Linked DNA regions of Elephas maximus indicus. The protein of the gene in region 1 interacts with the protein of each later gene in a pairwise test. Links are inferred from orthologs where the notes say so. Each region holds a gene or a part of one and is shown in the gene's direction. Other genes may lie near its edges.

Region 1 (6,597 bases):
GCAGAACCAGCTTGTGGGAAACTCCCCCCATGCCCAGCTGAGTCAGCCTGAGGAGACCAACTCTACTTCCTGCTTCCAAGAAAACCCAGCAGCTTCCTCTCCTGGAGAGGGGTGAGGGGTGCTTCCTGCACCTTGAACCCCCCAAACCACATTGGAGGGAGGTAGCTGGCAGGCCAGGGGTTCCTGGGGGAGGCCTCCATGATCCTCAGCCTCTTCCTGCCCAGCTGCCTGTCCACACCCAGGGGCAGGGACTCAAGAGGCTGGGTGCCGAGGCTTGTGGCTTCTCGCCCTGGCCTGCCCACTGCCTGACTCAGGGCAGCCCCAGGCCCAGTTTCCTGGTGGGGGCCCTGTCGGTCAGTGGGGCCGGGGGGGAGGGGGTCATCAGGCTATTTATAAGAAGGAAGTCTCTCATGCCAAGGCCAAAAGCCCCAGAGAGACCCGTGGGTGGGGGTGGGTGAACTTCCTCTTATTCTGCCCCCCAGGCCCTGGGTCCCTGGGCATGGGGGAAGCCTGGGCACAGACTGCTCAGCCAGATGCAGGTGTGGAGTCCAGGACCTGGGCAGTACCCACATCCAGGTCAGCTGGGGGAGGGGGCTAGCCTCACGACCTCCTCAGGGAGCTGGCCTCGGCGCCAGTGGGACGGCGTGAGGGGGTGGTGCCCAGGCCACAAGGGTGAGACTGGCAGGAGCCTGGAACCAGCTGTACCAGCTTGGCTGGGCCCCCACCCTGGCTCCATGGCCCAAACCCCACCCCTTGCCCAAACACCTGAGCAGGGTGCATCCAGCGACCCCATGCTGGCCGGTACACACCCACCCTCACCCACTCTCCCTGTGCCCAACTCCATCTCTCTCCAGATTAAAGGAGGCCCTTTGTGAAGGGGCCTGCAGAGCTTGCCCCACAGTTGGCACTCCACGAAGGTCCCCTTCCTGCCTGGTTGCCCCTCTCCCCATCCTTCACTCTCTGACCGTTTTTCTCTCTGGTTTTGATTATCTACAGGACAGTGGCTAATGCTTTGGGGCCAGACATCTTGGGTTATATCTACCACTTATAGCTGTGGAACGTTGAGCAAGTTCCTTAAGCTTGGCTGCCTCAGTTTCTCCTCTGTTAATGGGGATAAAAATAGCATATATTTTGCCGGGTTGTTGGAGGCATTTAATGACTTACTACATGTCAACCACTTAGAAGAGTGCCTGGCCATATAAGTAAGCACAGTATAAGTGTTAGCTATTAAAATAATCATTATTTTTAAGTTTGTCTACCTATCTTAAGTGTCTCTGAGTCTCTCTGTCTCTGTGAAGCTAACCTTGCTCCCATTTGTCTCTCTGGCATCTCTCCCTGCCCTGATACCTCACCCCCATGTGCCCACTCTCCTTGTTTGGTTGTCCTTTGAGATTTGCCCTCCATCTCTGACCCTCTCTGGCAGAGCCTTGCCTCTCTGCTGGACTCCCCTGGCGTGGGCTGTCTCAGCATTGGCTGGCCTGGGCTAACTCACTGTAGCCTCCTGGTCTGTGGGACCTGCAGGTCAGCTTCCCAAGGTGCTGCCCTCTGGCCTTGGCCTTCCCAGCCCCCCAACGCTGCCTGATGCACCCCCACAGAGCCCGGCCAGATGTCAGCTGCAGTTATTAGCATGGGCGGGCAGGAGACACAGGCCTGGCAGCAAGCCCGCCAGACACAGCGGCTGGAATCTCCCTTGAGACTGGAGCGGGGGAGGGGAGCAGTCACACAAGGGTAAGGGGGAGGGGGCATTTAGGGGTCACAGGGACCCTTCAGAGCCAGGGACACCCCCACCTTCTCATGGGATCTTCCTCCCGAAGGCCATTGCTTTGCTGGACTTTCCCCTGTCCCCATACAGCTCAGTTTCTTTTTCGCCTCTTTCATTTTCCTTCTCTCCCCCACACTGGGCGAGCTTGGTGCCTGCCCCACGAAGGTCTGCCAGCCCCTGTCCCTCAGACTCAGCCTTTCTACCCCAGAGAAAGTTCCACCCTTCTAGAAGACACAGGCCTGGAAGGTACAGAAAGAAAGCTTTTCCCCTGAGTTCCCCAGTCTGGGCTTCTCGCCTCTTGTTCTAGTGGCTCATACCCTAACTGCTTGGAAGTCCCACTTTAAGTCTAGCTAGAATCCTCACCATCTGAATCTATACCCAGTTCTTCCTGGGGAAGGTGTGCTGGTTCTGTGATTCTCCCCTTGGATTTTCAGCTCATCTCTGACTGGGGTGGCAGAGGGGGGCCCTCAATGGAGGGAGACATCCTGGGGAGGAAGGGGCCTCCCTCCAGGTATTATAGATGGGACCCACTGACTAGGTGAGGGAGGCAGGGGCATCCCAGCCCCTAGGAATGTGTGTGTTGGGGGTGCCCAGACCTCCCGGCAGAGGGGAAGGGCACCTCGCCCAAGGGAGGAGGCAGCCGTGCCAGCCTGCCCAGGCGCCAGGGGTGCCTCTAGGCATCGGCCCGCCTCCTCCGCGCCCCATCGGGCCGGGAGCGAAGTTCGACCCAGGCCCGCTGGCAGGCGGGGACCTGCCAGTCTGGGCTGGGCAGGGCCGGGCCAGCCTGGCAGGACGCGGCCCCACAGCGGCTGGGCGGGGCCGGGCTAGGCGGCCGTGGGGGCTCCGGGGGCGGTGGCCGGGGCTGGTCGGGACTAGCCAGTCCGGGGGCCCGGGCGCGCCCTGGGACCTGGCAGATATTGGTGCTCCTAACTCCTGGCTCGCGGCCCCGGGACAGCGCTGGCACCACCCCTTCCTGTGCCCTTATATGGGCCTCGGGGAGAGCTACTCCCCGGGCGGCCCCGCCCCCAGTCCCTGCTGGCGGACTCGGGCCGTTACCATGGCGACCAAGCCCCGCTCCCGGGCTGCGCCCCCCTCCGTCGGGATAATGGAAAGGTCTCCGTTTTGCCTTGAAAGTCGTCTGCAGGCGCCGCGAGCGGAACCACTGCTGGGGGCGGGGGAAGATAATAGGAGCTCTCTGCGGCTGGGCGGGCCCCGAGCGCTCGGGCCTCGGCGGGGGTCTCAAGCCCAGGTTCCTCTTCTGAGGCACGGAACCCGGCCAGACCCAGGGCGGGGTGCACGGTCCGGTAGGATACGAGTGACGGAGGCAGGGCCGGGCTCCTTCCCCGGGGGCTGTTGCCACACTTCCTGCCGCCACGCTCTTTCCCCAGCCTGTTTCTAAGGAAGGGAGTGGGGTTGGGCGACCGCGCCCCGGCCATCGGGCTGGGTCCAGGCTCCGAAGTTGACACGGTGTAGGGCAAGCCCAGGGTCAATGGGGGAGGCCATGGAGCTGGGGACAGAGTATTCGGGCGCCGATGGGTCACTACGAATGGGGTTGCGCTAGTCATGGAAGATTCGGCACAGCCTAGTCCCCAGGATCCTGGGAGCCCCTTCCTCGCACATCTCAGCTGGGGACCCTCCTGCCATTGTCCTCTGATTTGAATATATGTTCCAACCCTTCTAACTCTCCATCATGGCTTCACAGATTACCCCGGTGACTCCCCAACCTAGTGCCCCTGACAGACATATTCCATTTTCTACTCCACGTATTTTCCCTGGCCAACTGTACCCGAGGACCCGCATCCCTTTATGCATATCTAAATTTCCCCATCTTCATTCCTCCCCCACTTAGGCAGGGCCCTCAGATTGTCCCATGGATGCCAGCATCCCTCCTCATTTCTGGTATAATGGGTCCTCCAGCTTCTCCTCTTGTATCCTTTTTAAGCGTTGCCTTTCTTCGTTTTTCTAAGTCCCTCCTGTGAAAAGTTCCGGAACCCCCACTCAATTCCTGTGCCAGGCGTTTCCCCACCCCTTCCCATTTACTCGCTTTAACCCTCTTCCCCTTGTTTTTTTGGGCTCCCAGGGTATTATCAGAGTCCCAACCCCTCTGGAATACTTCGGGTCCCTCAGGCCTTTCGCTTACACCCTGGGATACCCGCCCCCACTTCCTCTGTACCCTGTCCTCCTTTTTCTCAGGTGTACTCCAAGGGAGCCATTGCTCCTTCTCAGCCCCTCCCCCAGATGCCTCGTGTCCCCCAGCAGATCCTTCCTCGCGTACTCCGGGGTCCCCCAGCCCCTCCCCTGCAGCCGCGCCGAGCCACACGGCCCATGGCCGCTGTTTACAAGGACACGCGCTTCCTGACAGTGACGCGAGCCGCCTCCTCCCCTTCCCCACGCTCGAAGAGGGGGGCGCGGGGGCCGGGCTCGGGCGACCGCCAATCCGAGCGCACTTCCGCAGCTGACAGCTCATATAAAGACCAGCCTCTCTGCTCAGCGGCCGGGACCTTGAGCGCGGCCAGGCCACCTTCGGAATCTTCAGGGAACGGGGAGCGGGGGCAAGCGACACAGAGAAAGCGAGCGCACTAGAGAGGGCGAGGAGGACACGGGAAGCTGGGTAGAGCTTTCGCGCACAGCCGCCGGCTGGCCGCTCCCCGCCCGAACCAGTCGCCGGGAACGCGCGTTCCGACAATCAGTCCGGTCACCGCCGCGGACAGCGCACCGGTCGCTGCAGCGAGGCCCCGGGCGGCCCCGCAGGGACCACCCCCCCCGCCCCCAAGCCCGCCGGGCCGCCCGGATGTGCACTAAAATGGAACAACCTTTCTACCACGACGACTCATACGCAGCAGCGGGCTATGGCCGGGCCCCTGGCGGCCTCGCTCTACACGACTACAAACTCCTGAAACCCAGCCTGGCGCTCAACCTGGCCGACCCCTACCGAGGCCTTAAAGCGGCCGGGGCGCGGGGCCCCGGACCAGAGGGCAGCGGAGGCAGCAGCTACTTTTCCAGCCAGGGCTCGGACTCGGGCGCTTCGCTCAAGCTCGCCTCGTCGGAGCTAGAGCGCCTGATCGTCCCCAACAGCAACGGCGTGATCACGACGACGCCCACGCCACCGGGACAGTACTTTTACCCCCGCGGGGGTGGCAGCAGCGGAGGTGCAGGGGGTGCAGGGGGAGGTGTCACTGAGGAGCAGGAGGGCTTCGCCGACGGTTTTGTCAAAGCCCTGGACGACCTGCACAAGATGAACCACGTGACGCCCCCCAACGTGTCTCTGGGCGCCAGCGGAGGTCCCCCGGCCGGGCCCGGCGGCGTCTACGCGGGTCCGGAGCCGCCTCCGGTCTACACCAACCTCAGCAGCTTCTCCCCGGCGTCTGCACCCTCTGGCGGCGCCGGGGCCGCCGTCGGGACCGGGAGTTCGTATCCGACGGCCACCATCAGCTACCTCCCACACGCGCCGCCGTTTGCCGGCGGCCACCCTGCGCAGCTGGGCCTGGGCCGTGGCGCCTCCACCTTCAAGGAGGAACCACAGACAGTGCCGGAGGCGCGCAGCCGCGACGCCACGCCGCCGGTGTCCCCCATCAACATGGAAGACCAGGAGCGCATCAAAGTGGAGCGCAAGCGGCTGAGGAACCGTCTGGCGGCCACCAAGTGCCGGAAGCGGAAGCTGGAGCGCATCGCGCGCCTGGAGGACAAGGTGAAGACGCTCAAGGCCGAGAACGCGGGGCTGTCGAACACTGCCGGCCTCCTCCGGGAGCAGGTGGCCCAGCTCAAACAGAAGGTCATGACCCACGTCAGCAACGGCTGCCAGCTGCTGCTCGGGGTCAAAGGGCACGCCTTCTGAGCGCCTCCCCGCTATGTACGGACACCCCCTCCAGCCTGGACGGCTGGGCGCACGCCTCCCAGGGGGGGCGAGGAGGCAGGCGTGGACACCGGCCCCGGGGCCTAGGGGCGCCACAAACCACACTGGACTCTGGCCTGCTGGCTCTCGCCCAATCCTTCCACCTCGACGTTTACAAGCTGCCCCTTCCACGTTTTTGTATGTTTTTTTTTCTCTTCTAGAAACAGACTCAATTCATATTGAATATAATATATTTGTGTATTTAACAGGGAGGGGAGGAGGGGGCGATGGCGGCGGAGCTGGCCCCGCTGCCTGGTACTCAAGCCCGCGGGGACACTGGGGAGGGGACCTCGCCCCCTGCCCTCCCCCCTCTGCACTATACTGTGGAGTGGAAACACGCTTGGTTTATTTTAAGATGTGTTTGTGTGTGTGTGTGCGTTTATTGTTCTGACTTTTTATTGAATTTATTTAAGTAAAAAAAAAATAGTTCTTTATTAATTTCTGGAGTCTTTTTTTCTAAGCCGGGCGGGCGGAGGGAGGAGAGTACTGGGCGGCCCTCACCCCACCGCTGTTTGGGGCTCACTCCAGTGCCTGCATCCCCCTCTCCAGCCCTGTCCAGCCATCTTAATGTCCCAGCCTAGCGGTCCGGCCCTCATATCCTGAGCTTGGTGGTCCCCGGGGGTTGGAAGGTGCGGGACGCGGTCAGTGTCCCAAGGGCGCGACGCGAAGTGCGCAGACGCGGCCCGCCCAGCCCCGCGCGCCGGGGCTTTCCCCGCTGACGCAGCGGAAGCGCTGCCCATACATGGACCGATTCTGCCCAGTGACGCGCTGGCGGTCTCCGGGCAGATTCCGGGAATCCCCTCCCCCGCTCTGCCGGGCAGGGCCGCAGCGCCGGGAAGGGGGCCGGGATTTTCCCGGGCAGGCGTCTGCCCGGGCCCGGAAAGCCCCAGGCCTGGGTCCAGAGCGCCCGGGGTGGGCGGGCCGCGCTCCCGGGCCCCGGGAA
Region 2 (6,979 bases), on another chromosome or scaffold:
CATGAGTCATCTGATAATGTGGCTGTCATTCCAAGGTGTGGAAACTGAAGCTCAGAGCTGTGAAGCGGTGACAGCACAGGGCTATGACCCCAGGTCCCGGTCCACAGCATGTGCCCTGCCCACAGCACCATGGGCTTCCCTGAATCAAGTGAAAGGTGTGTCTCTGCCTCCCCGAGGGTGCTCAGTGAAGGACCAGGGTATGGCCCTAAGTGACCCTCTGGGGTCCTGGAGCCCTCCGAGCATCTGGTGGAAGCCCCCCGCCCAGGCAGGCCCCTGCCTACCTCCTCCACCAGCAGGCTCTGGAGCTCTTGTAGGCAGTCCTGCATGCGCTGCCGGTCGGCGCTGTCCACCACCCAGATGAGGCCATCGGTGCTCTCAAAGTAGTTCCGCCAGTAGGACCGCAGGGACTTCTGGCCACCCACATCCCAGATGTTCAGCTTGAATCTGGGCAGGGGAGGGGGCAGCTGGAGGGTCAGCCCAGCCCCTCTCCCACCCTCCCTGCCCACCCGCCCGCCGAAATCCTGCTCACCCACGGTGCTCCAGGGTCTTGATGTTGAAGCCCAGCGTCGGGGAGATGGTGTCGATGTCTTCCCCATTGAACTTCTTCAGGATGGTTGTTTTGCCAGCATTGTCCAGGCCACTGGGGCACACCGGATTAAGGAGAAGTGCTCACACTCTGCAGATTGGTGGCATTGTCACTCACCACAAATCAAAGTCAGTTGAGCACATGCCTGGCCTGCCATCGACCCACGATAAATATGAAGGATCAAGAAATAAACATCTTATCATCTCTACTTCACCGACAAGGTGGGTGTTGTCATCCCTTAATTCATTCCACAAATGTTTACTGAATATCTACTACATGCCAGGCCCCCTTTTGGATGCTGGGGGCACCCCAGATAAGAGGACAAAGTCCCCACCCTTGGGCAGCTCACAATTGAGCAAGGAGACAGCTGAAAAAGTGCAAACCAGTGAGAAACTTAAGATGCTGGTGAGCTTCAGAAACCCAATGATGAGGCTCTGAGAAGGTCACCTTCTGTGAGAAGGTGTCTTGAGGTGAGGCCCGAACTACAAGGAGTCAGTTTTCTGAAAGACTGGGGAAGGGCATTCCAGGCAGAGGGAACAGCAGGAGCAAATAACTGGGGGCACCTACCCTTTCTTCGTTGTTTCTGGAATGTACCAAACCCTTTACTGCTGAATGAGTGTGCAAAGGAATGGTGAGTTCCCCAAGTGGGAGAGACAACCTTCCTCTTTCCTTCCAACACTTACGGGGACTTGTAGCTCTGTGTGGTGTGTGTGTGGTGTGTGTGTGTGTGTGCGTGTGTGTGTGTGTGGAGGGACACAGGCCCTGGGCTCAGCCTCTTATTGCTCACCTTACCTGGGGCAAGTGACTCAAGCCATGAAATGGGGTGATGAGAGGACCTGCCCTGAAACCCAGCCACGGCCCCTGATAACTGGCAGCTGATATTTCTCCCCTCTCCCTGCATCATCCATGATTCCTTCCACACGGGATCATTCCCATCAGCTGACAACCTCACTGTTGTTACTCCCCGCTTAGAAAAAGCAAACAAAACCTTCTCTTGTTCCCTCTCCTTTCTCCAGCTAGCTGTTTATTTCCTTCCCTTTACAGCAAAGCTCCTCGAAACGCTGCCTCCATCACTCTCCCCAATCTGCCCTCTTGCTCTTTCTAGAGCCCACTTCCATCAGGCTTCTGCTCCCTCTGCCTCCCTAAAATTGCTCTTGCCATGGTCAGTCCCCAGAGACCTCCACTGTGCTCTCCAATGGCTGGTCGGTGCTTGGTTCCCATCTTCCAGCTCTACCAGCAGCACCTGACAGACCTGCCTGTCTCTCACTCCCTGACCCATGCTGCCCTTGCTCTGAGACATGTCCTCGCTGGGGCCTCCTCATATCTCCTGGCTGCTCCTCCTCATCACCCTGATCTCTTGATTGGACGGAGTACACTTCACTCTCTTCTCTGTCACACTCACCCTCTAGGTGAGCTCATCCAGGATCCTGACTGCAAATACCATCTTTATGCTGTTGACTCCCAAATTGATGCCTCTCGCCCAGCTGCTCCCCTGGTCACCTGTCCCAAAACCCAGCTGCCTCCCTGACATTCCTGGGATGTCTCAGAGGCATCTCACATGGCCAAGTGAGCTCTCAGCTTCCATCCCTGTCCCGACCTGCTCTGCCCTGGTCTTCTCTGTCAGCTAGGCTCCTCATTCTTCTAATTGCTCAGGCCAGAAAGCCAAGAGTCAGGCTTGACTTTGCTTTCTCACACCGTTGGCCAATCCAGGAGCAATTCCTGCCTGCTCTCTCATTACCTTCCTACTTCATCACTATGATGATTCCACTCTGATCCAAGCCACCATCCTATCTCGTTCTCATTATCGTGATTGACCCCTAACTGGTCTCCCCCTTCTGCCCTTAACCCATGTCCTCTATTTGCAACACAGAAGCCAAAGTCAGACCACTCTTCTCCTCTGTACAAGACCCTGCCTGGACTGTCTTCCCCAGACACCTCTGACCTAATCTTCTAGTGCTCTCTTCCCTGCTCATTCTCTCCAGTCACACTGCCCTTGAACGCACCAGCTGAGTTCCTTTTGGGCCCTTTGCACTTGCCCTTGTCTTTGCCTTGACTAGTCTTCTCCAGGTAATTACACAGTTCACCCCTCACTTTACTCACCCGTCATCTCCAGGAGCCTTTCTTGGCTCACCCTATTTTAACGGCATTCTTCTCTCCCCACAAAAAATATTTTATTTGTTTTATCATCTTTCTCCCCTCAGGCATTCTATAACATTCAAGAGGACAGAACTTTGTTTTGCTGTTTTACCTAGCAAACATGGCACACAGGAGGCGCTCCATAAATACGTATTTCTTGAATGAGTGAATTCTCTGCGCCTTTCTCCGGGATCTTTAAAATGAACACGGCGGGCATATTTTTAAATTATTTGCGCGCATAAGCGACTTCTCTGCTGGCCCAACTAGTGGGTCTCAGATGCCCCACGTGGCCCGGCACAGTGTAAAACTCCCACTGCTGTCCAGTGGATTCCGACTCATAGTAACCCTATAGGAAAGGCGCGAAGTGCCCCATAGGGTTTCCAGGGAGCGGCTGGTGGATTCGAACTGCCAACCTTTTTGGTTAACGACGGAACTCTTTACCACTGCGCCACACAGAGTAGGGTGAATGAATGCAGGGACCCTGGGGCTAACAAGTCCTCAGCTTCGGGGACACCGAGGGGCCGCGGGGTGTCACACACAGTCTAGCCCGCAAGCAAACCGCCCAGCGGAACCAACCCTCGCCCCCCGGGAGCAGAGGGCGGGGCCGCGTCCCCGGGATTCCGAGTTTGGGGGCGGGGCCGGGGCCGGCACCCTCGGACAGGGGGGAAGAGGTCAGAGCCGGGAGGACAGCGGTCCCACGCTCGTGCCAGGCCTCCGGACGGTGACGTCTGAGTCACCTCCGGGCCCTATCGCCCCGCTACGCTTGGGACGCCTGGTCCCTCCGCTGCGCCTTTAGGCCCACACCTTTGGCCTCTGGACTGGAGTCCCCCCTCCCCGAGCCGATGGTACGGCCTCCTCTCGGCCCCAGCCCGAGCGATTGGTAGGGCCCACGTGCGTGACGCACAATGGGCAGTTGGTACGAGCTGGCCGGCCGCGCACCCCGCGCCCGGTAGGGGGCGTCTGTCACTGCCCCCCGGCTGGGACCCCACTACCCTAGCGGCTCCGCCGTCCGGGAGGATACAGCATGAGCAGTCGCAGCTCCCGCTCTTTCTCCTTCATTTTCTTCAGAATGGTCAGAAGCCCCATGATCCCAGCAGCCCCCTCCCGGCCGCCGTTTCTTCCTAGTCCTGGGATCCCCGCTCCTTGCTCCTATTGGCTATCACGCCCAGCGACAGCACAGCCCATTGGCCAGCCCTTTTTGGGCCCGCCCTTGCCCCACGTGACCTCAGAGCGGCCGCGCTGTGTCTCTGCTGGGGTCCCTCTAGCGGCGGCGCGGCTTCTGCGCGGCCACCTGCCTTAACCCTTCGCGTCCCGAGGGCCGACAGTTGGGGGCGAGGGCGAGTCTATTCCGTCCTCCCAGGACCCAAAAACTCGGCCGGGAACGGAAACCTGAAGTTCATGGGTTGGATCTTGGCCAGGTAGGGAGTACCTGCAAAAAGGTGTGGCCAGCCGGGGACCCAGGAGTCAGAAGCGAGAGCCTCATGACCTGGGGCTGTCCTGGAGGCTGTGTAAGGGCCTGTTACCCGGAAACGTGGTCCAGATCCCGCTCTTTTGGGGCCTTGGTGTCATCCTAAATTTGCCAATGACGGAACAGGAATTGGGCCTCCCCCTTGCCAGGCTCCTGAATGCCGGTATTGGTCCCTAGGGACCGTTGGAAATGTGCGGGGTGGGGTGGGGTTGCGTGTTTTGGGTTGATTCAGCGACGGAGGGAAGATTCCCCCACGTTTAGACGGTGGGAAGCAGGGATAGTAGGTAGTGTCCTGCAATGCTGGGGACAGACCCTCACAAGAATTGTCCCGCCTGAGCCCATGGTTTCCCTTTGAAGAAAAACAATCTCACGTTTGCTGATGACAAAAATGAGGCCCACCAAAAACTCGCTGCTGTCCAGTCGATTCTGACTCATAACGACCTTATAGGGCGGTAGAACTGCCCCATAGGGTTTCCAAGGAGTGCCTCGTGGATTCTTGGAACTGCTGACCTTTTTTAGTTAGCAGCGGTAGCACTTAAACATTAACCACTACACAACCAGGGTTTTCTTGAGGCCCACAGTGACTGGCAAATAGTAGATGCTCAATAAATAGTTGCTGTTGAATGAGTGACTTTGTCCAACAGTTTGGTTCTTTCCCTTAGTTTAGTACCCAAGAGATCCAGAAAAACTGAGGAAACTGAGGCCAGGAAGCAAGCAGATTGTAAGCTCAGAAGGGTGAGTCTCGTGTGTTATTTTGAGCCCTTCCACAAGTTCACTATAGGGTAAGTGTGAGTAGACAGCACAAAGGAACCAAACAGTTGATGGGGAGTTAATGCTGATTCCTGGTGACCCCTTGTGTGTCAGAGTAGAACTGTGCTGTATAGGGTGTTCAATGACTGGCTTTTTGCAATAGAGTGCCAGGCCTTTTTTCTGAGGCACTTCTGGGTGGACTTGGAACTTTCAACCTTTCCATTAGGTGCTGAACATTTTAATCATTTGTACCATCCAGGGACTTCTAGCAGAGTTCTTGTTAGGTGCCCTTGAGTCGGTTCCAAGTCATAGAGACCCTATGCATAACAGAAGGATACACTGCCTGGTCCTGCACCATCCTCAGAATTTTTGTCATGCTTGAGGCCATTGTTGCAGTCACTGTGTCAGTCCATTTTGTTGAGGGTCTTTCTCTTTTTCGCTGACCCTCTACTTTACCAAACATGATGGCCTCCTCCAAGGACTGATCCCCCCGATAATATGTCTAAAGTATGTGAGACGAAGTCTCCCTGTCCTTGCTTCTAAGGAGCATTCTGGCTGTACTTCTTCCAAGACAGATTTGTTTCTTCTTTTGGCAGTCCGTAGTATAGTCAATATTTTCACCAAGCCATAACTCAAAGGCATCAATTCTTCAGTCTTCCTTGTTCATTGTCCAGCTTTCACATGCATATGAGGCGATCGAAAACACTATGGCTTAGTCTTCAAGGGAGGATCTTCGGTTTTAAATACTTTAAGGAGGTCTTTCGCAGTAGATTTGCCCGATGCAATGCGTCCTTTGATTTCTTCACTGCTGCGTCCGTGGGTGTTGATTGTGGATCCAAGTAAAATGAAATCCTTGACAACTTAATCTTTTCTCCATTTATTATGATGTTACTTATTGATCCAGTTGTGAGGATTTTTGTTTTCTTTATGTTGAGGGACAATCCATACTGAAGGGTGTGGTCTTTGATATTCATCAGTAAGTGCTTCAAATCCTCTTCACTTTCAGCAATCAAGGTTGTGTCATCTGCATAACGCAGGTTGTTAATGAGCCTTCCTCCAATCCTGATGCCGTATTCTTCTTCATATAGTCCAGCTTCTGGGGTTATTTGCTCAGCATACAGATTGAATAAGTATGGTGAAAGGATACAACCCTAACCTATACCTTTCCTGACTTTAAACCACATAATATCTCTTTGTTCTATTCCAACAACTGCCTCTTGGTCTTTGTACAGGTTCCTCATGAGCACGATTAAGTGTTCTGGAATTCCCATTCTTCATAATGTTATCCATAATTTGTTATGATCCACACAGTTGAATGCTTTTGCATAGTCAGTAAAACACAGGTAAACATCTTTCTGGTGTTCTCTACTTTCCTCCAGGTTCTATATGACATCAGCAATGATATCCCTATTTCCATGTCGTCTTCTGAATCTGGCTTGAATTTCTCGCAGTTCTCTGTCAATATACTGCTGCAACCGCTTTTGAATGATCTTCAGCAATATTTTACCTGTATGTGATATTAATGATATTGTTGGATAATTTCTGCGTTCTGTTGAATTACGTTTTTTTGGAATAGGCATAAATATGGCTCTCCTCCAGTTGGTTGGTGTCGTGAGTTGAATTGTGCCCCCCAAAAGTATCTGTCAACTTGGCTAGACCGTGATTCCCTTGTATAATTGTATGATTGTTTACCGTTTTATCATCTGATGTGATTTCCGTATGTGTTGTAAATCCTATCACTCTGATGTAATAAGACGGATTAGCAGCAGTTATATTGATGAGACCTACAAGATTAGACAGTGTCTTAAGCCAATCTCTTTTGAGTTATAGAAGAGAGAAGTAAGCAGAGAGACATGGGAACTTCATACCACCAAGAAAGCAGAGTGCGTCCTTTGGATCTGAGGTTCCTGTGCTGAGATGCTCCCAGACCAAGGGAAGACTGATGATAAGGACCTTCCTCCAGAGCCTACAGAGAGAGAAAGCCTTCCCCTGGAGCTGACGCCCTGAATTCAGACTTCTAGCCTGCTGAACTGTGAGAG
Region 3 (7,304 bases), on another chromosome or scaffold:
ACACTTTTCCCACATTCCACAGAACACATTGGAAAGAGAGCTCAAAAAAGAAACAATTTTTAAGACTGAGTACTAAATTATCAAAGGCCAAGTGTAGCTGTGATTGTAGGGAGGGAAATGAGTTTACCTCCTCTCACAAAGAGCGCCTTTCTGAGAATGCCTCTGTCATCTAACCACGTCAGCCACAAAATCAAACACCGTAGTTTTGTCACTTTACGAGCAAGAACCTCTTAGAAGTCCTGAGAATTTCCACCCACTGGCACTTCTGGCCTGTTCTGGAGGGTTTGCTGATTGGGACTGGGCAAGCCGCTCTTTGCTGCCATTTTCCTCCTCATAAAAGGTGGAAGATGGTTAAGCGTTTTGAGATTCTTGGATGGAAGAGGGCGACGTTGTTCTGCCTTGTTTGTTTTTTCAAACTTTAGTTACAGATGGTAGTGGCTTTCCCCTGCTCTGCCTCCTTATTCAGTAACCCCTATCTTTGCCTGAAGTAACAGAATCTGCTCCTGCTGTCTGGAGGGTTTGTGCACCATTTAGGTTAGCAAACCACACAGTGAGCCTCAGGCTTAAAAAGACACTCGTTATTATCCTGAAAACCCTATCAAAGGTTTTTTTGGTTCTTCCTTGTTGCCCCTTCTTAAAAAATGAGCTCAGAACAGTGGATATCTTTCTTTCTTTTTACAATTGGTTGGGGCTTTTTTCTTTAATAAATTAATGTCAAAGTTTATGTTTGGTAAACTTGTGTTCACACGCCAGATTAGCTGATTTTGCTCCCGTGTTCTCCACTCAAGCTGAGAGCTCAAGTGGTTTTGATGAGGAATCAGGTTTAGGATCAAAGGGCCCTGGAGGGTCCCTGCAGATGATTTTCCAGGTGGGGAACCTTGCATGTGTCCAGATTGCTCTGCTAAGGTCCTTAGGACTAGGGCCCTGGCTGTGAACTTCACTCAGAGGATTTGCTAGAGCTCTGCCCTTCCTTCCTGAAGTTAACAGACAGGGTAAGAGATATTTAGGCAAAGGCTGACCCTGCACTGGGCTGTGAGGCTGTAGCCCTGTTAGACACTGCTGGACTAACACAGTGACCAAAATACCAGGGGTTATTCTCGGGTAACTACAGTCAGGTTGGTGTTTACTTTTTCATTGTGACTTTAAATTCTTGGTCCTGAGACCAAGTCCACAACTTGCCTTGTAGTCACTTGGCTCTCCTTCAGTGCATTTGATACGTATAGCTGGTCAGTCTGGAGCCTATCACCAGTCTTTCTGTCCTGGCTTGGCCAGGTCCATGCAGGAACAGCTTAGCCTTGAGGCCCAGAGAATCACTATTTTTCTCCTTGAGGGAGGAAATACAGCTGGGGAACATGATGTCCTTCCACAGCATGGGAAGAAGAAAATAAAACTTTGCAACAGCTTTGACTTGTGTGCGTGGCAGGAAACATTTTCCTCTGGGAGTGGAACTGGGTCTCCATTTTCAGTGAGAACCTTTGAAGGACTTGACCTGGGTCTCTGTAATAGAATGGATGGGACAGGCTGCCACCGGAGTCATTCTGCCATGGCCTCTGCAGTGCCAAAACTAGGGCAGTGTTCAGTAAATTCAAAACCAAACTCATTGCCGTCAAGTCAATTCTGGCTTATAGCAACTCAGTAGGACAGAGTAGAACTGCCTCATAAGGTTTCCTAGGCTGTAAATCTTTGCAGAAGCAGCCTGTCCCATCTTTCTCCCATGGAGCAGCTGGTGGGTCCAGACCACCAACCTTTGGGTTAGCAGCTGAGTGCTTTAACCACTGTACCACGCCACTAGGGTGCCTCACTTAAGTCTCAGGCACCTGCATGATCATCAGGCCGGAGGCAACGAGAAGTCTTGTGATAGAGCAAGAGGAGGACACTCCCCAGGGGCCCTTAGTTACTCTTTAGAAGATTGTATAAGGGCTCAGGGGCTCTCGCTGGCTTTGCCTGAAAGTTTCGACAACTTCCTGTATTTCAGCACTCATGGTTCCCAAGGGGAAGGAAGAACCACTCATTTATCCCAGCATCTAGTATTCCTTGCATATCTCTGATGCTTCAAAAATAGTCCTTGGTTTCATCTGTCAGTAAAGAATAGTGAAGTCCCCTGAGGAAGCAGGATGATACAATGGAGATAAGGGCAGAGAGACTGGGAGGTCAGGATCCCAAGACCTGAGTTCTAATAGTAAGAATAGCAACCATTTACTGAGCACTGACCGTGAAGCAGGCACGTACTTTACCTGTATGACCTCATTTCATCCTCAGAGGATAGGTACCATCAGCAGCCTCATTTTACAGACGAGGAAATTGAGGCTCACAGAGGTTAAGTCATTTAGCCAAAGTGTCCCAGGTAATAGTAGAGCCAGGATTCTTTTCGGTTTGGCTCCCAAATCTGTCTTCTAACCCCACCCGGAAACCCTGGTGGCATAGTGGTTAAGAGCTACGGCTGCTAACCAAAAGGTCGGCAGTTCAAATCCACCAGGCGCTCCTTGGGAACGCTATGGGGTGGTTCTACTCTGTTCTAAAGGGTTGCTGGGAGTCAGAATCGATGGCAACAGGTTTGATTTTTCGGGTTTTAACCCCTACCCTGGAGTCCGTGGGTGGTGGGAATGGTTAATGCGCTTGGCTGCTAACTGAATGGTTGGAGATTCAAGCCCACCCTGAGGTGCCTCAGAAGAAAGGCTTACTTTGAAAAATCATCCATTGACACACATCAATTGACTTGATAGCAACTTAAAAAAAAAAAACTACATACTGCCTCTAGTGGGAGCTGGGTGACTGGGCAAGATGCCTCATCCTGTTAGGCCTCAGTTTAGTATTGTTTAAAATTTGTTGGGCTAGATTGAATCAAGTCAAAAAATGGTCTGTAGTTCTCCAGGACAGTGCTTCCCAAGTGTTTTTTTTTTTTTTTTGACATCATAGCCGTGGTAGAAATAACTATATGGCACACTGATGAATGGAGGAGGAAACCAGGCCTCTGCTGCAGGCAGGGGATGAGGGCACGGTTGGGAGGTTTCCCAGCACTCTACAGCTCCATCATAGAGAGCAAGTCGCTGGCCCAGACTGAGACAGCCGCACCCAAACACACCAACCCCCAGCAAAGGGACATGGTTCTCAAGCTTCTCTCCTCACAGGGTCACTAGGATGACTTCGTGGGAAGTTGGTCATGCTTGGGAGTGACAGAACTGGGAGTTACTGAAACTATCCTAGTGCGAGAGATGCCAGGTGAATAAAGTCTCCCCGTGTTCTCAGAGGAATTGCATCTGCATAAACTGGAAGAAATTCCTGCTTGACTGCATACTTTTAAATGAGTGGCAAACACAGTTTAGCAGAATGGATATTGTAAAACACAGGTTGGGCGATAAAGTTACGCACAAGGAGTTGAGGGTGAGGACTTCGCGCTGGGCCTCGACGGTAGGGGGGCGTGGGTCTAGTGATCTCCCAACTGAGGTCCGAAGATTTAGCGCCCTCTCCCCGCCCCTCTCAGCTACTGGAGGGCTTGCAGTAGTGAATGCACATATGTAATGACATTTCCCTTTTGACATAGTTTTATCCTAGGGACTCCCTCGGAGCCCGCAGAGGACCCACCAGAAGCCAGTCAGTGAATGATGCCCGCGGCCCCGGGTGCTCTTGTCTCTCTTGAATTCATGTCATTGCCTCAAAGCATTTTTATTGCAGTTAACATTTTGTTTGCCGTTTTTCTTTGCTGTAGCAACAAGGCTCCCCATTATTTCTGGGGGCAATTTTATTAGCTATTAGTGGTTATCTCTAGCGGACAGTCAGCTGTCCGTGTGGGATCGCTCGGCAAGATAAAGGGTTGCACTAGGTAACTTCCAGGGCCCTTCCAGGGGGGAAGTCAACCCCATGTGTACAAACAGAACAAAAGATGGGCGGAGGAACTTGGGGACAAAGAGCCCGGCCTGGCGTTGTTTCGTCACGTCAATGAGGAAGGGAAGGGGCCGGGCCCTAATGCCACTGTTTGGGGCGCCCTGGGCTACAGCTGCCCGGAGACGGGTGCTGGCGCGGTCGTGGGTGCTGGGCGGCCCGGACTGAGAGGCCGCCCCAGCCGCGCGTCTCCGAGAAGGGGCAGCGAAGGGCCGAGGCCGGCGGCGGGAACCGCGCTGACAGCTCTGGCCCTTCCCGCGCGGGCCTGGGCTACGTCACGGAGCAGCCCGCCCACCTCGTCCTGATCCAATGGGAGCCCGAGACACGTGTAACTCTCCATGCCAGGCCCAATCAGCTCGACGCGCGCTCCCGCCAGCATCTCGCGCGATAACCGGGCGGCTTGGGATGAGAGGCTTCTGTCCCCGCCCCTCGGCTGACTCCGGAAGCGAGGCGACCGAGGGATTCCTCCGCTCTCCGGGGCGCCGAGCGTCTAATCTTAGCAGCCTTGTAAAGTAGTGCGCCTCTTTCTTTTCGCGAGGCCTTGAGAATAGCTCATTTTCTTTTTACAGTTACGTCCTGGACCTAAAGACCGTGGGTTGGAAAAGATCAGGGAGTCAGATAGGCGAAACCTCGGAGGTAAGAGGCGAAGGTCACGTGGCCAGGGCGGAGGAACATGACTGTGGTGCGGCCCGCGCCGGCGTGTATAAAGGGCCCGCGAGGGCGCGGCGGCCATTTCTCCTCCCGCCTTCAGATGTAGAGCAGAGACGTAGCCCGCGCCTTCCCTCCCCGCCCGCAGGGTCCGCAGCCGTCATGGCGTATTAGAGGCAGCAGTGCCTGCGGCAGCGTTGGCCATTGCAGCGGCGGCAGCAGCACCAGGCTCTGCAGCGGCACCCCCCAGCGGCTTAAGCCATGGCGTAAGTACCGGGGTGGGGCCCGCTGGCCGGGCGTCCCGGGCCGGGCGGACGTGGCTGGGCCGGGCGCGGTCCTGGGGCCGGGCGGCGTCGCGGGGGCAGGAAGCTGTTTTACGAGGCGCCGGCGCCGCGGGAGCCCTGCTGGGTGTCCCCGAGACGCCGGCGCCCTGGGTCGGGGGGAGCGGCCGGCGCCGTCGGCCGGCGAACGTGGCAGGAGCCAAGATGGCGGCGGCGGGGCGGGGCGGGGCGCGGCGGGGGCGCCGTGGCCGGATTTGGGCAGCGCGGGGAGCGCCTTCCCCGGGGCGGGGCGCCGTGGCCGGATTTGGGCAGCGCGGGGAGCGCCTTCCCCGGGGCGGGGCGCCGTGGCCGGATTTGGGCAGCGCGGGGAGCGCCTTCCCCGGGGCGGGGCGCCGTGGCCGGATTTGGGCAGCGCGGGGAGCGCCTTCCCCGGGGCGGGGCGGCGGCCGTATTTGGGCAGCACGGAGAGGGCCTTCACCCCGCGGCGGGGCCGGCTGAGCCGGGACGCAGCCAAGGGTGCTCGGTGCCTCCGAGGCCACGTGCGCCCCACTCTCCAAAGCCAAGCGGGCTTCCCACGCGGCCGTCCTGTCTCAGGGCAGAACGATGAGGTTCCCAGACGAGCCCGTGTCTGATGGGCCTTCGTTCCCGGCTCCTTGCAGGCTTCTCACGGCATTCAGCAGCAGCATTGCTGTAACCGACAGAGACACCTTCGAATTAAGCACATTCCTCGATTTCAGCAAGGCCCCGCGTTATGGCCGAGATGAGCTTCCTGAGCAGCGAGGTGTTGGTGGGGGACTTGATGTCCCCCTTCGACCAGTCGGGTTTGGGGGTTGAAGAAACCCTAGGTCTCTTAGACGACTACCTGGAGGTGGCCAAGCACTGCAGAGCGCATGGGTTCTCCAGGGACAAGGCTAAGGCAGGCTCCTCCGAATGGCTGGCTGTGGACGGGTTGGTCGATGCCTCAGACAACGGCAAGGGTGAGTGGCTGTCCTTATCCCCCGGCGTGGTCTGGGTCACTTGTGCTTGGGGAGAGTTGATGCCACTTTTTTGTGTCTTGTAGAGGATGCCTTCTCCGGAACAGATTGGATGGTGGAGAAAATGGATCTGAAGGAGTTTGACTTCGATGCCCTATTGAGTCTAGACGACCTGGAAATTATGCCAGCCGAGCTTTTGGCCACGTTGGATGACACCTGTGATCTCTTAGACCCTTTAGTCCAGGAGACGAATGAGCCCCCCCAGACATTGAACCCAATTGGTCATCTCCCAGAAAGTTTTCCCCAAACTGACCAGGTTGCCCCATTGACCTTCCTGCAACCTCTGCCCCATTGCCCCGGAGTCCTGGCCTCCACTCCAGACCATTCTTTTAGTTTAGAGCTCGGCAGTGAAGTGGATATTTCCGAAGGAGATAGAAAGGCAGATTCTTTTCTGTATGTTACCGCGGTCCCTCAGTGCATAAAAGAGGAGGAGGCCCCTTCAGATAATGACAGTGGCATCTGCATGAGCCCTGAATCCTGTCCAGGATCTCCCCAGCACAGCCCCTCCACCTCTGGGGGCTCTCCAGATAGGAGCCTGCTGTCTCCACCTGCTCTCGGTGGCTCTGCTCGCCCCAAACCTTATGATCCTCCTAGAGAGAAGGTGGTAGCAGCAAAAGTAAAGGGAGAGAAATTGGATAAGAAACTGAAAAAAATGGAGCAGAACAAGACAGCAGCCACTAGGTACCGTCAGAAAAAGAGGGCAGAGCAGGAGGCCCTCACGGATGAGTGTAAGGAGCTAGAAAAGAAAAACGAGGCTTTGAAGGAGAGGGCGGATTCTCTGGCCAAGGAGATCCAGTATCTGAAAGACTTGATAGAAGAGGTCCGCAGGGCCAGGGGGAAGAAAAGGGATTCCCTAGGGTAGTCAGGAACGGGTGCTTGTATATAGGAGGCTTGCGCTGAAGCTGTGTTGTAATAAATTATTTTGTAGTGAAAGTACTTATGTAGATGTGCTGTGTATCGTAAGTTTTTTTGATTTGTGGCTAAAATGATTCACTTAACCCTTCCAGGAGTGGGTTCTGGTCCTTCATGGGGTCCAGGGGTGGGTGAGATCATTACTGAGGATCACAGGTTTGATAGGCTGTTTGGGTGGGGTGGGTCATGGAAGGTGATGGTTTCCATTGGGTCCCCGAGTTTCAGGCAAAGAGTTGGGCTTGAGCCCAACAGCTGGCTGGGTGTTTTTCTGGAACTGAACTCTTAGGGTTTCTCTTACCAGTAACCCATTGGGGTGGGGCTGGAGAGTTAGCCCTCAGGACTTACGGGACAGCTGGGAGGGCAGAACTTCCTGGTCTTGTTGACACAACCTTGGCTGTATTTTAAGCTTTGCCAGCTCTGTAAGCTGTTTCCCTGAAGGGAACCTGTTCAGACAAAAGGCTTCAGATTTTAAAGTGGGCCTGGAGGGCTGAGAATTGTCTCAAATGACCAATCCCAATGCGGTGGAGTGGAATGGACGAATGCCCATCGG
Region 4 (6,994 bases), on another chromosome or scaffold:
TTTGCCTTTGCCCTTCATGCCTCACGAGCCCCTTTCCACCAGATGTTCCCGTGGTTCACCTCTTTCAAGGAAACCTTGCTCCACCTCCATATTCAAAAATGCAAACCTTCCCTCTACTACTCCCTAGTGCTGGTCACTGCTTTCATGTTTCTCATAGATCGTACTGCTAACTAACATGCTGTGTTTGCTCATTGTCCGTCTCTCCCTTCTCTAGAGTAAGCTCTGTGAAGGTGTGGATCTTTGCTTTGTTCCTTGTATCCCAGTGCCTAGAACCCTGCCTGGCACACAACAGCAGGGTAGACACAGTGGTCTCTGCCTTAAACTTTCTATTCTCTAGTCCCACCGGAAGCCCACGGGACCACCCTCTGAGAAAGAGTAGTGAAAGTTCAACTACTGAAAAGGCAAAGGTGAAATGGTGACCAGGTTTTCTAGCCTTTGAGTCACATTTTTTAAACAACTGTTTTCTTGTGAAGGGAATCACCAAAGAATGTGGTCACTGAGCTGTAAACCTCCTCTCTCTATCCCCAAAGTTGCACTCCAAGGTCATTGTGGTATTAATAGGAAATCGCCAAATCATATAATTTCTCTTCTCAGTTCAAAGGAAAAAAGCACAAGTAAAAAGAAAAGGCAGAGGAGGAAAAGGTGACATTTGAAATGTCTGGGCTTGTTTATCTTTTCTTCATTTCATTTTTCTTTCTCCTTTTGACTTAAAGGTGATAAAATGAGCCAGAAAATACAACAGAAAAACAAGAGGATTCCACCTGGTCAGAGCATTGTTGCCATTCTGGGATGACAACTGACCTTAGCGTCAAGGAAGGGAATATCATCTGTAAATAAAAAATGTTTAAAAATGTTAACATAATAAAACAAAATTTCAAAAAGTTTTAAAAAACAGACAAAAGAAAATTACGTATAAACCCACCACCATGAGAGAAAAGCTACTGTTACCTTGGTCTTTTGGTCTTTTCTCATATGTATACATTTTTATATAATGTTACATGTGTCATATTTTTACATAATGTTACATGTGTTATACATGTACTATTGTATCCTGGTTGTTTTTCTTACTTTACCTGATAGCAAATCAGTCTGTCATGTAGTAAATTTGTCTGCATGCTTGTAATTTTAAAAATGTACACTATTCTACCCAGTGGCTGCACCATGTTTTATTTAGTTATTCATCTACAATTGGACATTTATGTTGCTTATAATTTTTCACTCTTAAGAATGTTATTATGTATATTTAGTGCAATAGTATTTTTCTCATTATTTTCAACTATCTTCCTAGGATTTTTTTTAGATGTGGGAGAACTGAGTCATAAGTGGTGTCTCTCTTTTGGTTCTTGAAAGCTACAATAAAATTGCATTCCAATAGATTTGCACCAATGTGTAACAATGCTAGTGAAATACAAGAGTAATAATTTCACCACACGCTCACCAGCATTTGACATTATAACCTTTTGTTTTGGTAATTCAATATTTGAAAAATTTCTTATTTTAATATGTGTTTTTCCTATCTCTATTTTTTTTAACTCCATTGAGAAATTCCAGTTCATGTCACTTGAGCAATTTGCCTTTGGGGTTCGTCCCAATATTTTTCTTATTTCTTTCTATGACCTATAGATCCAATAGAGATCTTAACCCTTTGTCATGTTTATCATGAATATTTTTCCTAGTATATTTGTTTTTAACTTCTGGCTATTTTGTCGTCTAAAACCGTTTAACATTCGTATACAGTCCAGATCTTTCCACCGGGATTTCTTCATGCCTTAGTTTTTTTTAGTCTTAGATAATTCTCTCCTTGTGGTCTTATTCCCAGGGCTTTAATAAGGATTTAATTCTGTTTTATCTCCCTAATTTTATTTTCTATATCTGACTGCCTAATCCATTAATTTTGATTATGATATGTAGGTCAAATTGATCTGTTCCTTAAACACTAAGCAGTTAATCGACTCCTCCTTGGAGGTATGTGAAGGTAGCCTTGCCTAACATGACAGCCCAGGCCATGCCTAAACGGAGAGTCCCTGTGTGCCGGGACAAGGCCCAGGCTCCCGGGGCAGAGACAAGCAGGTACAGCCACAAATGCCTTAGACTGTGGTGTGGTTAAGTAAGAGCAGAAAACCGACACCAGCCAGAAGGAAGCTGGGAGTGCACCTAACGTCTGCTCCGGGCTTTGCCTGCCCTTTCTGTTCTTGAACACCTTGCGGGGGGGGGGGGGGGGATGGGGGGATGCAAGCCCTGCTCAGAATTAACCACCACTCGCCCCAGAGGTTTTCCTAACTTGTTAGAGTCTTTTTAAGTTTCAAGAATGTGGGCTCAGCTGAAACACGCTTCATTTGTCAGTAAATTGAGCACCTGCTGTGTGTAGCATGCTGCACAAGGCGCCCTGTGTGTACCGGCGTGGGATACAAAAGTAACAGCCCAGGAGCCTCCATGGGGTATGTTCGGTGATGAAATACAAGGGAGAGGCGAAACCCAGGCAACAGAGCCGAGGAGAGATGGCTCCGCTCTGCTTCCCTTGACCTTGTAGTGGGTGGCACTGTGGCTGTAACGGGCTGTGTCCCCCGTGCCCTCCCGCTGGCTGCCTTGCATCTCCGCCCTGCGTTCTCAGGACCCCTGCTCACAGACATCTCCGCTCGCTCTCCTGACCTCGGCCAGACAGCCAAGTTCACCGAAGCACCGTCTCGAAGCTTTCGAGAGTGTCTTCGACCTGAAGGAGAGCTAGGGGCACTGGGCTGAGGTCAGAGTCCGTCCCTGCGCCTGCCGCACTCTGAGCCCGAAGGACTAACGACCACACCCGGACAGCACTTCTGAGTTCTGGTCGGAGTTCCCGCCCCCACCCCCCGGGTTCGCGGTTATCTTTCTCTCCCGGTGCTGACAGCATCCAGACCACAAACCCGTAACCGCTCGTTAGTTCTTTGCTGGGACCATGTACGATTTTGTCTTGACGTCGCCTCTTTTAACTGGCAGGCGGGTGGAGGGGAAAGCACCGCGCACCTCCACTTCACTCCCACTTCGGCACCGGCGTGGTGACAGCCACGCATCTTGACCTGTAGATCACTTTGATCTTGAAAAAGAAATAAGATCTGGCGCGTTTAACGTTAGCGTGGGGGGGGCCCGGATCCCCAAACCTGTCAACGGTGACGTCCAGTGAGGTCAATGTCACTGTTTCTCTTGGGACAACCGGCCCCCTCTCCCTGGGAATTCACCCTCGGGGCCTCCCCGTCTGCTCCCTCCCACAAGCTCGGCGGGGCTGGTGAAAAGAGGGGTGACCCTCAGGGTGCGCGGTGGGACTTGGTGAAGCCGGCTGGTCCGTCTCCATTCCCTGCACCTCCCAGTTTGGGGAGCCGAGGGCCGAGGAGGGCGTGAGGGTGGGGAGGGCAGCGCCTCGGGCGCCAGGCTGACTAATGGCTGCGGAGAAAGTCCCGGGACTGTGAGCGGCTGGCGAGATGTGACGGATGCGCAGGAAGATGCTGTGATGGGACCGGGAAAAAACCACCAAGCCAAACCACCCACTCGTGTTTTTCAGCCCGAGTTCCTCAGGGGCGGCCGAGGGACCCCAAAGGCTGTGCCGCGCTGCGCCTCCCTAACCCCCCATGCCCACCCCAGTGTAGCCTCTTGCGGGTGGGCTTCGCGTTCCCTCCGGGTTTCGGAGCCACCACGTGACTTCCACGAAGCGCAGGGCCCCAGCGGAAACCTGCGCCCGGGGTGGGATTGGGACCCCGAGGTGCGGCGAGAGGGCGGGAAAGGAGGAAACGAGGCGGGGTGGGAGAAGGAGGGGCGGGCCCGGCGTGGGGACGGGCAGGACGAGGGCGGACCTTGGGGTGGGGAGCCCCGGGACCGCGCGCCACGGCCGCCGACAGGGAGAGCGGGAAGCCCGCGGGGGCGGGGCGGAAGGGGCCGGGCGGCCGGCAGGTGCCGGGGAGCCAGGATGCCCCGGGTGGGAGGGTCCCCGTAGCAGCGCCGGGGGCAGGGCGGTCGGGCCGAGGAGCGCCCGGCATGTCGCAAGGGCTCCCGGCGGCCGGCAGTGTCCTGCAGAGGAGCGTCGCGGCGCCCGGGAACCAACCGCAGCCGCAGGTAGTGCCAGGGGCCCCAGGAGTGGGGGCGCCCGGGGCGCGAGGAGCTGGGCGCTGGGTTCCGGGGTGGTGGCTGCTGGGGTGCGGGGGTGGAGGGCGCTCCGGGAGACGAGCGGGCGGGAGGGCGGACCAGGGGCCCCTGCGTGCGTCTCTGCCCAGCCGCCCTGGCGCACTCACGGTGCCCGCGGGGCCTGGATGGGGAGCCGGCTCTTGCGCCCCGGGCGGGGAGAGGAGGCAGGACGCCGACGCCTGGCTGGCCCAGCCCGGCCGCGCTCCCCGCACGTGGGCTCCACGCTGTCCGGGGCGCCACTGCCCCACGGCCTGAGCGCCTAGCCCTTCCTGGCCACTCCGGGTGAAAGCCAGGGCGTGGAGAGGGGAATTCGGCCGGGGAGGCTGCTGGCGCCGAGCCACTCCCAGCACACGCTCCAGTTGCGGGCGGAATGGGGAGCGTGGGGTGGGGGCCCCCGGCAATGGACGCAGGCTCCACCCCCTCCACCCCCAGCGCTAGAGGAAACCCCTCGTCCCCGTCCAGTCGGTTTCGGCGGCGATGTCCCAGGCAGCTTTTACAACCGCGCCCGCGGGAAACGGACAACGCTGCGCTCAGGCAGGGCCGTCCGCCAGCTTTGCTTCCAGTGAAGGACCGAGACTGGGTCTTTTCATCTTTATGGCGCCACCGAGCGCCGTGCCTGGCACATAATGTCATCGGTGACTTTAAGTCTCAGAGATCTAAGTTCAGGACTCGGCTTTGCCACACACGGCCTGAGTAGCCTTGGGCAATTTGCTTAACTTCCCTGAGCCTCGGTTTCCCCATCTGTAAAATGAATATAATAACATCCACCTTTCAGGATTTTCGTGAGGATTAAATGAAATATGGTTAATAGTTATATGACTGTCTCAGTATGTTCTGTCTTGATTTTTTGTTTCTTCTGCTGGGTTGTCAGGTGTGGACAGCTACGTGGTTAAGCCCAGGTCGAGGGTCAGCGCCCAGAGGGCAGGATGTGGGCTGCCTCACTGCAGAGTGACTAGTGCCCCATGACTTAGGATGATGGGAAGTGAAGAGGCAAAATTTGGTGGCAAGCCCTGTGGCAGAGGCAATAAAAAACAGCAGCAACCCCGGCAGAGGCAAGTGGCCTATTGAGGGCGTGCTGTGTGCTGGAAGCTTGAAGACAAAAATCACGTGTTATCTTATGAGCCCTAGCAGTGGGCTGCCAGCTTGGAAGCCCCATGAGATCACCCACCGTCTGTTCAGGGCTTGTGCCTAGAACACTGGCTGGCAGGCGGTAGGTGCTCAGCCAGTATTTATTGAAAAAAAATGAATCACACTTACAATAGATGAGGGAATTGAAAATTGAGAGAATTTAAGCCATTTACCCACCATCATATTGGTAGTAAGAGGCACCACCAGGGTGTATGTTATTCTAAAACTGAAGTTCTGCCCTCTACACCACATTTTCTCACTCCTTTTCTTTCTCACACTTCTTGAGTGTCTAACTGTGGTGTCCTGGTTATGATTACCAAGTCTTCTTTGCCCCTAGAAGCTTTCATTTTTACACTTTGTCCTCTTAAGCACTGTCTCCAGACCACTCCTATTTGTTCTGTGTGTTATTTTCTTCCCCTTTTACACTCTTACATACTCACATTCACTGAAAATCTCTTTACCTGCAGTAACTTGGAGGGATGATGTGTGTCTCACCTATTTGGAATACAGGAGTAGATAAAATGATCATTTTGTGTTGTTAGTGTTTTGTTTTCTATTAATATTAATAATTGAGTGTCTTTCCTGTATTTGTGCTCCATTTTGGGTAACCTCTTGGTTTTTAGATTTCTTAAGGGTAGCGCTTTTTCCCTCCCTGCCCCCCTACCTTGGTGTGTTCTCACAGGGTCTGGAAAGCAAATACTATTCTGCTTCTGCATGTTTTCTGTAACGGAGTGACGTGTTTTCATCATGGTAAGCGCATTTTTCTGCCTGCCTGTTTCATGATAACTCTTGCAGGATTTGACTAAGTTTGGCTAAAACTCATATAAAAACTTTCAAGATACATTGAAAATTTGCTTTCTGATTCACTTTGACTTCTGAAACAAAATGGAAGCCAAGCATTGTTCACATGAGCACGTTGTCTGTTGGTGGAGTTATGTGGTTGCATTTAGTTGTAACCGTGATCTGCATACAGTATAAAGGCACCTGTTTGTGCGTGATGTGGGGAAGCCTGGCACACAGCAAGTTCCAGGTGCTCTCTGCTTTCCCAGTCTTGGATGAGCACCACAAGTCTTCCTGCACACGCCCTGGAAAGGTTTACGAACATTGGTTTGGAGCCCAACAGACCTGAGTTCCACTTCCCACTCAGCCGCTTACTAGCCATGATACCTGAAGCAAGTTCCTTAAGCTCTCTGAGTTTCTTATTCCTCATCTTTCAGATAGTGGTCAGACCACCCATTTCTCAGGGTGGTTGTGGGGATTAGCAGCTAAGCCTGGTGAGTGCTTCTTAACAAAGAGCTAGAGTTATCCCAGGAGCCCTGGTAGAGCAATGGTCAAGAGCTTGGCTGCTAACTGAAAGGTTGGTGGTTTGAACCCACCCAGTGGCATCCAGCAGACCTGGTGATCTGCTTCCATAAAGATTACAGCATAGGAAGCCCTTTGGGGCAGTTCTACTCTGTCACATGGGGTCACTATGAGCCGGAATTGACTGGACAACACCTAACAAGTGCTGCACACTGCAATAAATTGGTGAAGCGTGACTGGCAATGCTGAGTGAAAAGAGAAAGCAGAGAGGGGTGAGGTGAGGAGCCTCAACTTCACATCTGACCAAATGCTTTCCCCCAGAGTCCAGAAGATGATGACAGGAAGGTCCGAAGAAGAGAGAAAAACCGTGTTGCTGCTCAGAGAAGTAGGAAGAAGCAGACCCAGAAGGCTGACAAAC

Evidence for each region.
Region 2: the proteins of JUNB (region 1) and BATF2 interact in binary tests that used the Homo sapiens proteins (3 or more experiments, as listed by UniProt). The link is inferred for Elephas maximus indicus from reciprocal best matches to the Homo sapiens genes JUNB and BATF2.
Region 3: the proteins of JUNB (region 1) and ATF4 interact in binary tests that used the Homo sapiens proteins (3 or more experiments, as listed by UniProt). The link is inferred for Elephas maximus indicus from reciprocal best matches to the Homo sapiens genes JUNB and ATF4.
Region 4: the proteins of JUNB (region 1) and BATF3 interact in binary tests that used the Homo sapiens proteins (3 or more experiments, as listed by UniProt). The link is inferred for Elephas maximus indicus from reciprocal best matches to the Homo sapiens genes JUNB and BATF3.

The regions. Positions count from the first base shown.
Region 1 is NC_064821.1:31,491,406-31,498,002, forward strand, and holds JUNB (transcription factor JunB), read left to right. Parts: upstream 1-4,261; 5' UTR 4,262-4,553; coding exon 4,554-5,597; 3' UTR 5,598-6,088; downstream 6,089-6,597. UniProt on the Homo sapiens protein: Transcription factor involved in regulating gene activity following the primary growth factor response. Binds to the DNA sequence 5'-TGA[GC]TCA-3'.
Region 2 is NC_064825.1:128,185,747-128,192,725, reverse strand, and holds the start of BATF2 (basic leucine zipper transcriptional factor ATF-like 2), read left to right. Parts: upstream 1-3,961; 5' UTR 3,962-4,120; coding exon 4,121-4,140; intron 4,141-4,852; coding exon 4,853-4,925; intron 4,926-6,979. Other genes in the region: ARL2 (ADP-ribosylation factor-like protein 2), read right to left, coding at 282-444, 530-640, 3,744-3,808.
Region 3 is NC_064822.1:183,485,777-183,493,080, forward strand, and holds ATF4 (cyclic AMP-dependent transcription factor ATF-4), read left to right. Parts: upstream 1-4,604; 5' UTR 4,605-4,793; intron 4,794-5,467; 5' UTR 5,468-5,559; coding exon 5,560-5,785; intron 5,786-5,868; coding exon 5,869-6,704; 3' UTR 6,705-6,786; downstream 6,787-7,304. UniProt on the Homo sapiens protein: Transcription factor that binds the cAMP response element (CRE) (consensus: 5'-GTGACGT[AC][AG]-3') and displays two biological functions, as regulator of metabolic and redox processes under normal cellular conditions, and as master transcription factor during integrated stress response (ISR).
Region 4 is NC_064842.1:1,338,682-1,345,675, reverse strand, and holds the start of BATF3 (basic leucine zipper transcriptional factor ATF-like 3), read left to right. Parts: upstream 1-3,976; 5' UTR 3,977-3,999; coding exon 4,000-4,077; intron 4,078-6,897; coding exon 6,898-6,994. UniProt on the Homo sapiens protein: AP-1 family transcription factor that controls the differentiation of CD8(+) thymic conventional dendritic cells in the immune system.